3 linked regions of the Canis lupus familiaris genome follow. Each later gene encodes a partner of the first gene's protein in a complex. Links are inferred from orthologs where the notes say so. Each region holds a gene or a part of one and is shown on either strand. Other genes may lie near its edges.

Region 1 (3,416 bases):
CCCCCCCTTTTTTTACAACATGCCCTTATTTGGAGATGGGTCATCACAAATGTAATCAGTTAAGATAAGGTCATGCTCCTGTGGGGTGGTCTTCTCCAGTGACCAGCGTCCTTAGAAGAGGAAATTTGGACACAGACACACATGCAGCGAGAAGGCCATGTGAAGGTTGTGAAGGGGCAAAGATTCAAGCCACAGGATGCCAAAGATCGGCAGAAATTAGCAGAATCTAGGAGAGGGGCAGGGAACAGATCCATCACAGCCCCAAGGAACCAGCCCTGACCTGACCACACCCGGACCCGAGGCTCTGGCCTTCAGATTGGCAAGGCAACTCATTTCCATTGTCACCCAGTCTGTGCCACTTTGTTCTGGCAGCCCTGGAGAACTCACATGGATTCCTACTGCCACATGGGTAAAACATGGTGAATTCTACTCCAGTGCTAAAGATGACGATTAGTCTCCAACTGCCCAAACCAGTTATCTGTACGGCAAGGTTCATAAGAAATAAGCAATTATGACTTTCCATCACTGTGTACTTTATTCGTGTCAGCTAGGTATTTACAAATATTTGCTAATATAAAAATACAATGGCCAGACAGGCAAAGAGTTGATGCCATGCAACCCTTACTACAAAGACCCTCCAAGTCCTTGAGCTTTGAATTCACTTCCAAACGCTTTCTCTAAGGCTTTAAATAGTTTCAAATATTTCCATGTGAAAACAATTCTGCACCACTTCTGTGCACGGAGACTGGGCTGAGCTCAGTATCTGTATTTCGTGGAGTAGTCCTTTGGAGACACAACCAGGCCGCGGCCCTTCCGGGCGCCCCGGTACACAGTCTCGATGATGTCTATCATTTCCTGTTTGTCTTCCATGGCCCAGTTGATCTTGTTGTTGTTACCAGTACCCAGGTCAATCATGATGTGCTTGTTCCTGCAAAGAGGACATGGGGGGGAGGGGTCAGTGCTCACAAAAATCCTTCTAAAAACAGTTCCATAAAAAAAAAAATGCCATTTCCTACCATCTCAGGCTCTTGTTAAACATCAGTGAAGACAAGAACACAGTCAAGAGGATCCACCATGATTTAGAAGATGGAAATAATGTAAACACTATCTTAACACAGCCATGCTTGGTGCAAGCTCCTTCTGTATACTCTGCGACTCCCTCAGGACCCATGTCCTCTGGGGAGCTGAAAGGTCAGAGGGCACAGTTCTAGTCACTTGGACAGTAATAGCATTTTCTGGGGCAGAGGGGTGGCGGAGTGGGGATTTACTTCAGAAACACATGATATATTTTTTTAAATTTTTATTTATTTATGATAGTCACACAGAGAGAGAGAGAGAGAGAGAGGCAGAGACACAGGCAGAGGCAGAAGCAGGCTCCATGCACCGGGAGCCCGACGTGGGATTCGATCCCGGGTCTCCAGGATCGCGCCCTGGGCCAAAGGCAGGCGCCAAACCGCTGCGCCACCCAGGGATCCCAACACATGAGATTTTCATGGCACTCTTGGGAGCTCTGGGCGTATACTTTACTAAAGGCCCCAGTGGCCTCAGAATTTTTAAAAAGCCCTTATTGTGAAATTAGTATATTTTGCATTCCTACAATCAGGGAAGTAGACGATATTTTACGAATTTGTTTTTTAAAAGGATACTTTAAAAAATGATCTTGTATGTGCACTTGACAAAGAGAGTAATCTTTTCTGTCCTTGGTGCACTGTTTTCCCCAGGTCTGCTGAACATTAATTTGTTTTCACTAATTTAACTTTTCACTTGAACAAGAATGAAGCGCTCTGTCCTGCAGTCTCTGCTTTGGACACCTTTCAACCAGAGCGAGCATCCAAAAAGGCAAATTTGATGCTTCTCTACTGCGAACACTCACTTGCAGGGTAACACTGCGCACCCGCACTCGGGCCCAGGGATCTGCTCCTTCTTACCACCAGTGTGCCAGCCATTCTGTGTCCCTACGGGACACCAAACACCTGACTGTTCATGCCCACACTAGCCCCTAGGAATGCATGTGCTCTTTCTAAACTTACTTAGTACTTGTGTCTCTATAAATACCTATCCTCTGGCCCTTCTGTGTCCTTTTGCTAGTCTACTCAGCTGTGGCCAACCCATGAAGCTCAGTGATGGCAGGAACCCTGCTGTATCTGACTTGATGTCCTGGTGGAGACCACAAAACCTGGCAAGACTCAATATATGCATTTGGTGAAAAAATCAACAGCAGTACTGATGTGCCTCATCTTAGAATTCTGGGTCACAGGAAGAGCAGAAGGAGGGTCCGTATTCTCTTCTGAGGCAGTGCTCTGGTTCGGCTGCCACAGGCAGCAGGAGGCTGGACCCAAGACAGCCTCATAAGTCGCACCTGATGGCCTGGGGAGAGTTTTGAGCAGCACGAGAAAAGGCCTAGGCTGCCATGAAGAGCTGTCAGTAGAAACACGATCTGAAGAGCGCGGGTGCCTAGGGCAGCAAGGAACACAAGGCTGGGATAGAGGAAGGGCCTCGATACTTGGTGGCTGGACATCAGTGACCCTGTCCTGTGGTTCTGGAGAAGCAGAAGTCACAAGGATGCACTTGGATGGTCAACGAAGGAACTATCAAGCCAAGTCCTGCAGGGGCTGCCTGGTTTCTCCCCACTGCGGACAGCAAAGCAAGGAACACGGGTGTAAGACCCACGAATGCCCCTCAGCAGATACCAGATCCAGGAATGACCTTCTGCGGAAGCCCCAGGAAGCTCTGTGGCCGGAATGCTCAGTCCCAATGAAGAACAGTGTGCCCCACCGTCTTTGCAGATGCCCGGGGCAGGGACTTGGGCTGCAGGGACGGACAGTGCAGGCAACAAACCCCAGGGGCTACGGCTGAAGCAGGGTGGGAAGCCGCCCCATGGCACATGCCTTTCCTAGAAGAGGCTGGGAAGCCCCGGCTGAACTGTCCCAGGGCCCCTGAGAAATCAGAGCTGCTTCCTCTGCTGCCCTACTGGGTGCTGCCCTACTGGGTGCTGGGGAGCCGAGGTCACGCAGGATGGGTGTCCAGGAGCCCAAGAGGCCTCAGTCTTACTGATTTTGCTTAGGGGAAGGATGTGCATCTGTGGACCCGGAGTGCACACTATGGCAGACAAAACCCTACACTCAACCCTGAGAAGTTCCTGCCCTCATCCCTGGGATGGTGATGTGATGAGATGCCAATGCTCAGCAACATTACAGACACATAGGGTTGGGCAGGTGACCCCGAAGGTTACAGATCCACTGACTTTAAAATAAGGGGATGATCCTGGATTATCTGGGTGAGATAATTGCCGGCATAGCAGAAGCAGAACAGGGTAGCGCAGAGACAGTGCAAGCCCCGAGATGGAAGGGGCTCAGGAACAGGGGGCCCCAGCACGCAGCCAGCGAGGACACAGCGGCTTCACACCCACAGCCATA
Region 2 (4,171 bases), on another chromosome or scaffold:
ACCCAGCAGCCTCTGCCGTCGACCACCTCCCTTGCCTGGGGGGGGGGGCCTTCCCATCTCCCCAGCCCCATGCCTGCTCCACTATCATGTACCTGACCCCTCTCTGAGGACTCCAGAAGCACTTGGGGCACCCTTATCTGCCCTTGGGTCTGCCAACTCACCTGCATTATTGCTCCTGAGTTTCTTGGCAGATTTGGTAACGACGGAGTTGGGGTCATGCGGGGAGAGCCAGGATACGAGGTCGGTGTCCACATTCCAGTAGTAAGGGAGCCCACTGTGGGGCAGTGGGATAGAAGTATGGACACAGGGAAGGAGGAAGGGGAGGGGTATCAACACAGACGTCCTCTCCTTGTAGCCTCCACTCCTGTCTCCCCAGTCTCTATCTATGCCTGCCCCATGTCAGAAGCCCAGAAGGAGGACCCCCAGACCTCTTTCCTGTGTTCCCCATTTACCCTAAAGCCAGGCAGGCCCAGAGCCAGCACAGGAAAGGTCAAGTCAGATGTCAGACTCTCCGCCCCCCGCCCCAGTTCCCCAGGCTCACCAGGATGGGTCAAACACTTTGTACCAGCTTGGTGGCAGGCCCTCCAACCGGGTGGCCTCATAGTCCACAGGGTCATCATCGTAGTCCTCAGCAATAATCTCTTCCTCTGGTTCTGGCAGGATAGCAGGGTGGAGGAAAGCAGTAAGGACCAGAGGAATTCTTATCCTGCAGTCAGAGCCTGGAGACACGCTCAGACTCACATGGACCATGTGTGTGCGTGTGCCAGGTCTCACCTTCTATGGCAAATATCACATTCCAAATCCAAGTGTCTGAAGATCAGGGGATTTGCCAAAAAACTTACCTAAATCTGTTCTGTTTCTGGGTTCAGATAAGATTTGAGATTTGATATCCTGTTACCGAAACCTATCTGGTTTCAGATTTTAGACAAGGATTCATCAAAACAAATGTATCCTCCAGTTCCTGAGTTCAGGAAGCATGTGACACCACGCTATCCCAATCTATTTGGATAAAATGAGTTTGAACAGTAAGCGGTTTATCTGAAAAACAAAATGCCCAAATCTATTCAGCTCCCAAGCTTGGTAAATATGGGGTTTCTGATTCTGTATATTGAGTAGCAAGTCTGGATGGGAAAGGATATATCCAAACACTGCTCCGCATCCATTCAGTTCCGAGGCCTGACATACAGCAGGCCTACAACAGCTGTCAGTTACTATCAGTAGAATAAAAGAGATGTATGTTGTCAGCTCGGTACATGACCCTCAGTAGACCTATGACAGATTTTGGCTGTGGACATAACTGACAATGAAATGTATATGTCAGCAACAGCATAGTGCCTGTCACACAATAGGCCCAAAGTGAGTATTAGCTATAATCATCAGAATTGTTAGTAAGAGATATATACCATCAGCACAGGGCCTGGTACTCAACAGGCTTAAAATTAGCAACGACTGTTACCAGTATTATTAACCACAAGATCTATATGCCTGGCACAGAGTAGCTTGTAACAGATGTCATTTATTAATAAGGTGAAAATAAGATGTAATCCAGTGCCTAGCACACTGCAGCCCAAAACAGATGCCAGTTTTTACCATGATCGATAATAAGGTGTAAATATTAGCAGGAACAGCACAGCAGGTAGAAATGATAGATCCTACCATCATTTTCTACCACTATGTGTATGCCAAGCACCTAGACCCAAAATACATGTCAGCAATTGATATGGTGATCAATAAGGTATAGATCACCAACATAGTGCCTGGCCTCACAACACGTCTAAAATAATGTGATCAGTAGCGTAAAGAACCCAGTATCCGCATCCCCCCTACCGTCTAGGGAAAATGTCAGCTCTCCTTACTGTCAGCTACTTTATAATAACTTCCACGGATCGTCTGATGGATTGCGCGTGGCATACAACAGACCCCAAAAAGGCATTAACTGTCAATATTAAGGATGAAACATGTATTCCCCACCCCCACCCCAGCCCGCGGTAGGAATGGATATCAGAAATCCACACCGTTAACAATACACGCCACGCCACTGACTGATGCGCGGTAGGCCCACGCTAGGTATCGAGTGGCGGTATCAACAACGAAGTGCCTGTCAAGCCAGGCACATTGTAGGCCCAACCGCTTTTAGCTCACTCACCGGGCTCCAGATGTTTGAGGATGCCTCTCTTGGCCAAGCGGGTCTGCAATGCAACAGGCAGCGGCATAGCGGATAACAGGCAGACCTAGGGACAGACGGATGAACAGACACGCTCACAAAAAACAACCCAGCTCAAGTGAGGATTCAAATCCCGACCTAAAACCGAGCGCCTCCTCCCGGCATATATCCCTCACTTACCCACCTGCACCAATGGCTGGGTAGACGGAACCTACAGGCTAAAAGATGGAATATAAGTGGCGATGACACCCAAACTCTCACCAACCCTCCCCTCGAGGCTGGGTGTTCCAAGACCCTGTTCCTCGCCCAGGCCCAGGCTCCGCCCACCGCCGAAGGGGCCAAGCTCAGTTCCCCCGCGCTCCCGGAATGAGCTCACCCAACGTCCCCCAAAGACTGCTGGGTGGGAGGAACCAAAGCGCTGGGACGGGGGAGCAAAATGAAGCACCTCTTCCGGCTGCAAAAAATGCGCCCACCCTGACATTACCAATGCAATCACGCGAGCAGTGGAAAGCTGACAGGTCGGCCACCTCTCTCTCGTCCCCGCTAGGATCACGAGAACCACACGACGGCCTTCTCCCAAAACACCAAAAGAGGTCCTCTCTCCCCGACGCTTGAGGTATCTGGGCGACGCACAGGCTGCAGTGGAGATGACGCAAACTCGGTGGCCAATGAGAGCGTGTCCCTGCCCTGATGAGCAGCAACACGACCCAATCGGTGGCCTGGAATAGGTGGACAGCTCGGCGCCTGTGTGCGTTTACAGTGGGGGCGTGGCCTGGCCGGGCTTTAGCCGGACTGCGCGGCCAGACGCCGGCGCCATGGAGGAGTACGCTCGGGAGCCTTGGTACGGCGATGGGCACAGGCCTCGGGACTGTTGCTGCGGCGCCACCGCCAGCTGTGGGAGGCGGGCGGGGGAGGCGCTGGCCACACCGCGCCACGTCCCAGACTCGGGAGACTCTTAGACGTTTGTGGTCTCCTTCCGCTCCCCTCCGCTTCGTTCCTCTCACTCGGGCTCCGTTAAGAGAGGCCGCAGCTGTGAGCCCGGAGAAGGTGCGGTGCAGGGACCAACCACTCAACGTTTCCTCAGACTCCGTATCCCCTCCCCCGTCCCTCTTTGTTGAGGAAAAGAGACACGCTGGTCGAATCCATTCCAGCTTGGGGGGTGGTGCGGGGTCGAGCGGAAATCCCCAGGGTTACCACGCGTGGCTTTTCCCAGGTCGCTTTAGTGGATGGGGGCGGGGCTGGGTGAACCTGTGGCGGACGGACTGGATCCTCCCCACGGCCTGCGCTTGGTTTTTCCCAGTTGTGATCGGTTAAAAGAGAGGGAAGACGGGATTTGGTTGGACGTGCTCATCGTCGGGGACGGAGGTGCGACCCCGTCCTGCTTTAATAACAGTACTAGCAAATTAACACTTTCACAGCGCTGACTTAAAGGTGCTGACTCTGCGTGTCTCATCAGTTCATTTAGTCTTTGATAGTGGTAAAGCAGTTGGCGAATTCCTTGCTTGGCCTCGAAGGAGGGGCGGGCGAGCAAAGACTAATGCTTTTCCCCTTTTGCACCATTTCTTGCTCAGACGAGGGGAGAAATAATCTCATTATTTGAAGTGCTGCTTCCCATTCGGGTGACTTGGTCTCTCCCAATTGGAAAGAATCCGTGCACCATGGCGGGGGAAGAGGGGCTCACTTAACCCACCCTCCCCTTTTGGCTTGCAGCCCATGGCGAATTGTGGACGATTGCGGTGGAGCCTTCACTATGGGTGTCATCGGCGGTGGAGTCTTCCAGGCCATCAAGGGCTTCCGCAATGCCCCTGTCGTGAGTCGTGGCCTTCCCTGGGTAGTGTGGGGGTCCTGCCATGCCCACATGGGATACTGCGATGAACACTGCGTGGAGCTGCCATAACTCGCTCATTACGGTGCGGCTAGCCTACTATGTGCCAGGCCTGACTCCAGGATCTGTGGTTTGGGGTGAACTGCAAACACGGCTCTCTGTCCCTCTCCCTGCACCACCCA
Region 3 (4,020 bases), on another chromosome or scaffold:
GATCCTGGGATTGAGTCTCACAAAGGGCTCCCTGCTCAGTAGGGAGTCTGCTTCTCCCTCTACCCCTCTCCCTGCTCATGTTCTCTCAAATAAATAAACAAAAATCTTTAAAAAAAATTTGAGAGAGCACTTGCAAAAGTGGGGTAGGGGCAAAGAGAGAGACTATCAAGCAGACTCCTTGATGAGCGTGGAGACCCACAGGGGGCTCCATCTCACCACCCATGAGATCATGATCTGAGCTGACACCAAGAGTTGGACACCTAACCAACCGAGCCATTCAAGCACCCCTGAAATTTCATGCAATTTTAATGTATGAGAGAATTCAAAGGTAAGTTAAGACACAGGCCTGGGGCACCTGGGTGGCGCCTCCTTTGAGCACCTGAGTTTTGGCTTAGGTCATGATCTTGGGTTGTGAGATGGAGCCTCAAGTAGGGCTCCATGCTCAGTGCAGAGTCTGCTTGTCCCTCTCCCTCTGTTCCTCCCCTCACATGCTCTCTAATAAATGAAACCTTAAAAAAAAAACACCCCAAAATACGTTGTAGTATATATAAAATAATTTAATAGGATATATATAAAAGACAGCAAATAGAACACATATGAACTTATTTAGCCCTAAGTGAGATCTTGTTATTATCACTATTTTACAGATGAGGAACCAAGGGTCAGAAAGATTTTCTAAAGTCACATAGTAAGAAAGTTTGAGCAAATGCAAATGGTTCATTTTGGCTGTAGAATGGGATACTCCACACTAGTGTGTGTCATATTTGGCACCTTGCATTTCAGATGGAAGAGCCTGAACGCCGTGCCAACAAGTCTACACTTTACTGTTCAGATAGTCATAAATTATTAAAGCAGAGTCCAGTCATTGGCAATACCACCATGGCAGTGATTTTTAGGAAGTGGGATGGAGAATTTGGTTAGGTCTCAGTATCTCCACCCCGGCCTAGTAACATCTGGGGCCAGGTAACTCTGTTGAGTGATGTCCAGCGCGTTGTACAATGTTCAGCAGCATCTCTAGCTTCTACTCACTAGCGGCCTGCCAGTAGAAACAGGCTCCCTACCCCACAGTTAAGAACCACTGAATTAAGCTAAACCAGGAGGAGGGCATAAAAGAGTAGAAAATATCTGTGAAGAAATAAAAGAGAAAAAAAATTGAAGGTCATTTTGGAGGATGGTCTCAAAGTACATGAGATCGAGAGATGAGAGAAATTATTAAAACCAGTTTCATCCTGTGAAATTCTCAAATATCTGTTAAGAAACAAAAGCACCTGTTAAGAAATGAAAAAGGTAATCTAAGATTACAAGTAGAGGATGGTTCTTTTGCTAAAAATAATTAGCATCTCACCAGTTCGTGAAGAACCCAGAGAATACTTCTAAGGTTTTGCCAAGTCGTCAAGGAAAGAGAGTTTTAGACAGAACTCCAAAATAAGTTGTATTTTTCTTAACGTCGGGCTCACGATGAACACTTCAACAGACCCAGCTAAAATACACGGAGTTCTTGCACAAAAAATGGCTTTGATACAAATATGCATTTCAATGTAAAACTATTTTTTTTCTTTAAAAGATTTACTTGAGAGCGAGAACCAGAGAGAGAGAGAGAGTGCGCGTGCGAGCGAGCAGGCGAGCAGTGGGGAGGGGGCAGAGAAGGAGGAGACACACCAAGCCGACTCCACGCTGAGCCCAGAGCCCACCGGGGCTGATCTCACCAGCAGATCAGGATCTGGGCTGAAACCAAGAGTGGGACCCTTAACCGACTGACCACCAAGGCGCCCCTAAATGCACAATTTCCTGGGCAGCCCGGGGGTGGGGGGGGGTGGGGCTCAGCGGTTGTGCGGCTGCCTTTGGCTCAGGTCGTGACCCCAAGGTTCTGGGATCGAGTCCTGCGTCGGGCTCCCTGCATGGAGCCCGCTTCTCCCTCTGCCTGTGTCTCAAATAAATAATAAAAAAAATCTTAAAAAAAAAAAAAAAAAGCACAATTACTAAATACGGCTTTTTCTTGCAGTCTGACTCCTCCACGAGGCTGGCAGGACGTGACCCACGCACAGGGCGGACGGCTGTTTCACAAAGCGACCCCCGGGTCCCGTTCTCCTGTTCTGCGCTACCACGTGCAGAAATCCTGGGACTGCGCGGCGGACACGAGACGGAGGCACTCGGGAGGCCCTGCACACGCTCGGCCCAGCGTCCCCGAGCCCGGGCCCACGCAAGTAGGAACATCCGGTTTTGAGGGGATTTTTACTGGATGCAGGAAAAAAGAAAAAAACTTACTTTTCTTGGATTAAAAAAAAAGAAAAAAATGAACGTTCCCCCACAGCGCTGTTAACAGATCACGTGACATCCAAGTCTTAACTTCTGCACAAGATCAAAAAAAAATTTATTTTTTTTAAATTTTCATCTATTCATGAGAGACCCAGAGAGAGAGAGAGAGACAGAGAGACACAGAGAGAGAGAGAGAGGCGCAGAGACCCGGGCGGAGGGAGGAGCAGGCTCCACGCAGGGAGCCCGACGCGGGCCTCGAACCCGTGACCCCGGGTCACGCCCTGGGCCGCGGGCGGCGCTAACCCCGCTGGGCCCCCGGGCGCCCCGGAGGGAGATTCCGAGAACAGAGCTCAAGGAAACCGCCGCCCCGCCCCGTCCTCGCGCCCCGCGGAGCCGCTCTGCCGCCCCCCGAGCGGGGCCCCGGCGCACGGACGCCGCCACCCGCACGCGGCCCTCCCGCGTACTCACTTTTTCAGCTCGGGAGGGTGAGCCTTGCTCATGGCGCCGACTCGGCGAGCTCGCAGAGGCCTCCACACGGCTCCCTCACGCTCCCGCCGCTTGGCGCCTGACGTCACCGGCCCCCGCCGCCAATCAAACGCCGGCAGAGGTCACATTCCCTCCCGCGATACTTTGAGGGCGCCCCCGGACTTGCCGAACGCCCGCGAGTTTCCGGTTGCGTTGCCAGCGATTGGCCTGCATGGGGCTACATGGGGTGGGACTTCCGGTCGCCTCCTCAATTCCGTTTCCTGATTGGTGAAACTGACGTAAGGGCTGGGTCTCTAAGTCGTCGGCGCAGCTGGCGGATCCCTCGCTTTGCGACCTGCGCGGGTTAGCGTCCTCGCACGTGCCCAGTGCGCACGCGCTCGGGAGGGCTGGGCTCTGGTCCTGCCAAGGTCGATCAGCCTGCGGTGCCCCCGCATCGGGCGCTCTGCTCCTCCCTTCTGCCTGTGTCTCTCGTTAATAAATAAAATCTTAAAAAAAAAAAAAAAAAAAAAAAAGACTTAGGCCTCGGTGATTCTGAGTAGAGGATGATTCTCCAAAATTCAGTTCCTCCCTAATGTCCAGGAATGGCTCTATTTAAATACGAATAAAAGACTGAGCCTCATTCTAGCACTCAAAATCCTACAGGTGGCATTTGCCCAACTTCCCACCTCTCGCTGCTTACAAGCAGCTACGGTCCCGAAATGGATGGTTTAGCCTTCCCACGGTTATTTTTACATTAATGGACTCCGAGTCCCAGGGCCTTAGCTTGTCCTGTTTTCCCCCATTTACAATGAACCAGTCCCGCGTCTGAATCACAGCGAGTTTTTACTCTTCACGACGTCTTCAGACACTTATTTTACACATTACAAAGAGAAGCATCCTAAGAAAGTTGTAGATTCACTGCTCGCATACGAGAGACGCCGTAGTGGAGGAAAAAACTAAACCTTATTTATTTTTTAAAACTGAACCACTAGGAAAATAGATCACAGACTTGAGACACCCAACGCAGGCTATATCATCATTTCAAGTACTAAGTTGGTAAAAAGACAGTAAGGTCTTTATCAAAATGAAAAGGTGCTAGAGCTGGGGCAGGAACACGGCTTGCTGCAAAGGTCCTGGGGCAAGGGTGGCATTTGGTAATGGGGTGGGGGGTTGCCCCTCTTCTGCTTTAAAGGGATCACAGCCCACCCTTGAGTTGCCTACTTTTTCTCCTTTGACCTTCCTGTCACCAAGTGATTGTCTGAATAGGACTCTGTTATTTTGGGGGCAAAATAAGCAATA

What was found. Proteins that work in one complex are often made in the same cells at the same time.
Region 2: the proteins of TXNL4A (region 1) and PQBP1 are in contact, whole or in part, in a crystal structure (PDB 4BWQ), measured with the Homo sapiens proteins. The link is inferred for Canis lupus familiaris from reciprocal best matches to the Homo sapiens genes TXNL4A and PQBP1. Residues at the interface, in NP_006692.1 of Homo sapiens: Gly11, Trp12, Val14, Asp15, Ile18, Asp68, Phe69, Met72, Tyr73, Glu74, Met82, Phe84, Asn87, His89, Met91, Gly97, Asn98, Asn99, Asn100, Lys101, Leu129; in NP_001027553.1 of Homo sapiens: Gln241, Gln242, Arg243, Pro244, Tyr245, Pro246, Ser247, Pro248, Gly249, Val251, Leu252, Ala254, Asn255.
Region 3: TXNL4A (region 1) and SNRPG share a complex: the UniProt entries of both Homo sapiens proteins name them as parts of the U4/U6-U5 tri-snRNP complex. The link is inferred for Canis lupus familiaris from reciprocal best matches to the Homo sapiens genes TXNL4A and SNRPG.

The regions. Positions count from the first base shown.
Region 1 is NC_049222.1:699,715-703,130, reverse strand, and holds the end of TXNL4A (thioredoxin-like protein 4A), read right to left. Parts: intron 929-3,416; coding exon 757-928; 3' UTR 510-756; downstream 1-509. UniProt on the Homo sapiens protein: Plays a role in pre-mRNA splicing as component of the U5 snRNP and U4/U6-U5 tri-snRNP complexes that are involved in spliceosome assembly, and as component of the precatalytic spliceosome (spliceosome B complex).
Region 2 is NC_049260.1:42,260,227-42,264,397, reverse strand, and holds the start of PQBP1 (polyglutamine-binding protein 1), read right to left. Parts: upstream 2,809-4,171; 5' UTR 2,649-2,808; intron 2,383-2,648; 5' UTR 2,349-2,382; exon of another isoform or gene 2,345-2,348; intron 2,232-2,344; 5' UTR 2,214-2,231; coding exon 2,147-2,213; intron 654-2,146; coding exon 542-653; intron 275-541; coding exon 162-274; intron 1-161. Other genes in the region: TIMM17B (mitochondrial import inner membrane translocase subunit Tim17-B), read left to right, coding at 2,980-3,005, 3,875-3,974. UniProt on the Homo sapiens protein: Intrinsically disordered protein that acts as a scaffold, and which is involved in different processes, such as pre-mRNA splicing, transcription regulation, innate immunity and neuron development.
Region 3 is NC_049231.1:70,135,037-70,139,056, forward strand, and holds the start of SNRPG (small nuclear ribonucleoprotein G), read right to left. Parts: upstream 2,809-4,020; 5' UTR 2,757-2,808; coding exon 2,725-2,756; intron 1-2,724. UniProt on the Homo sapiens protein: Plays a role in pre-mRNA splicing as a core component of the spliceosomal U1, U2, U4 and U5 small nuclear ribonucleoproteins (snRNPs), the building blocks of the spliceosome.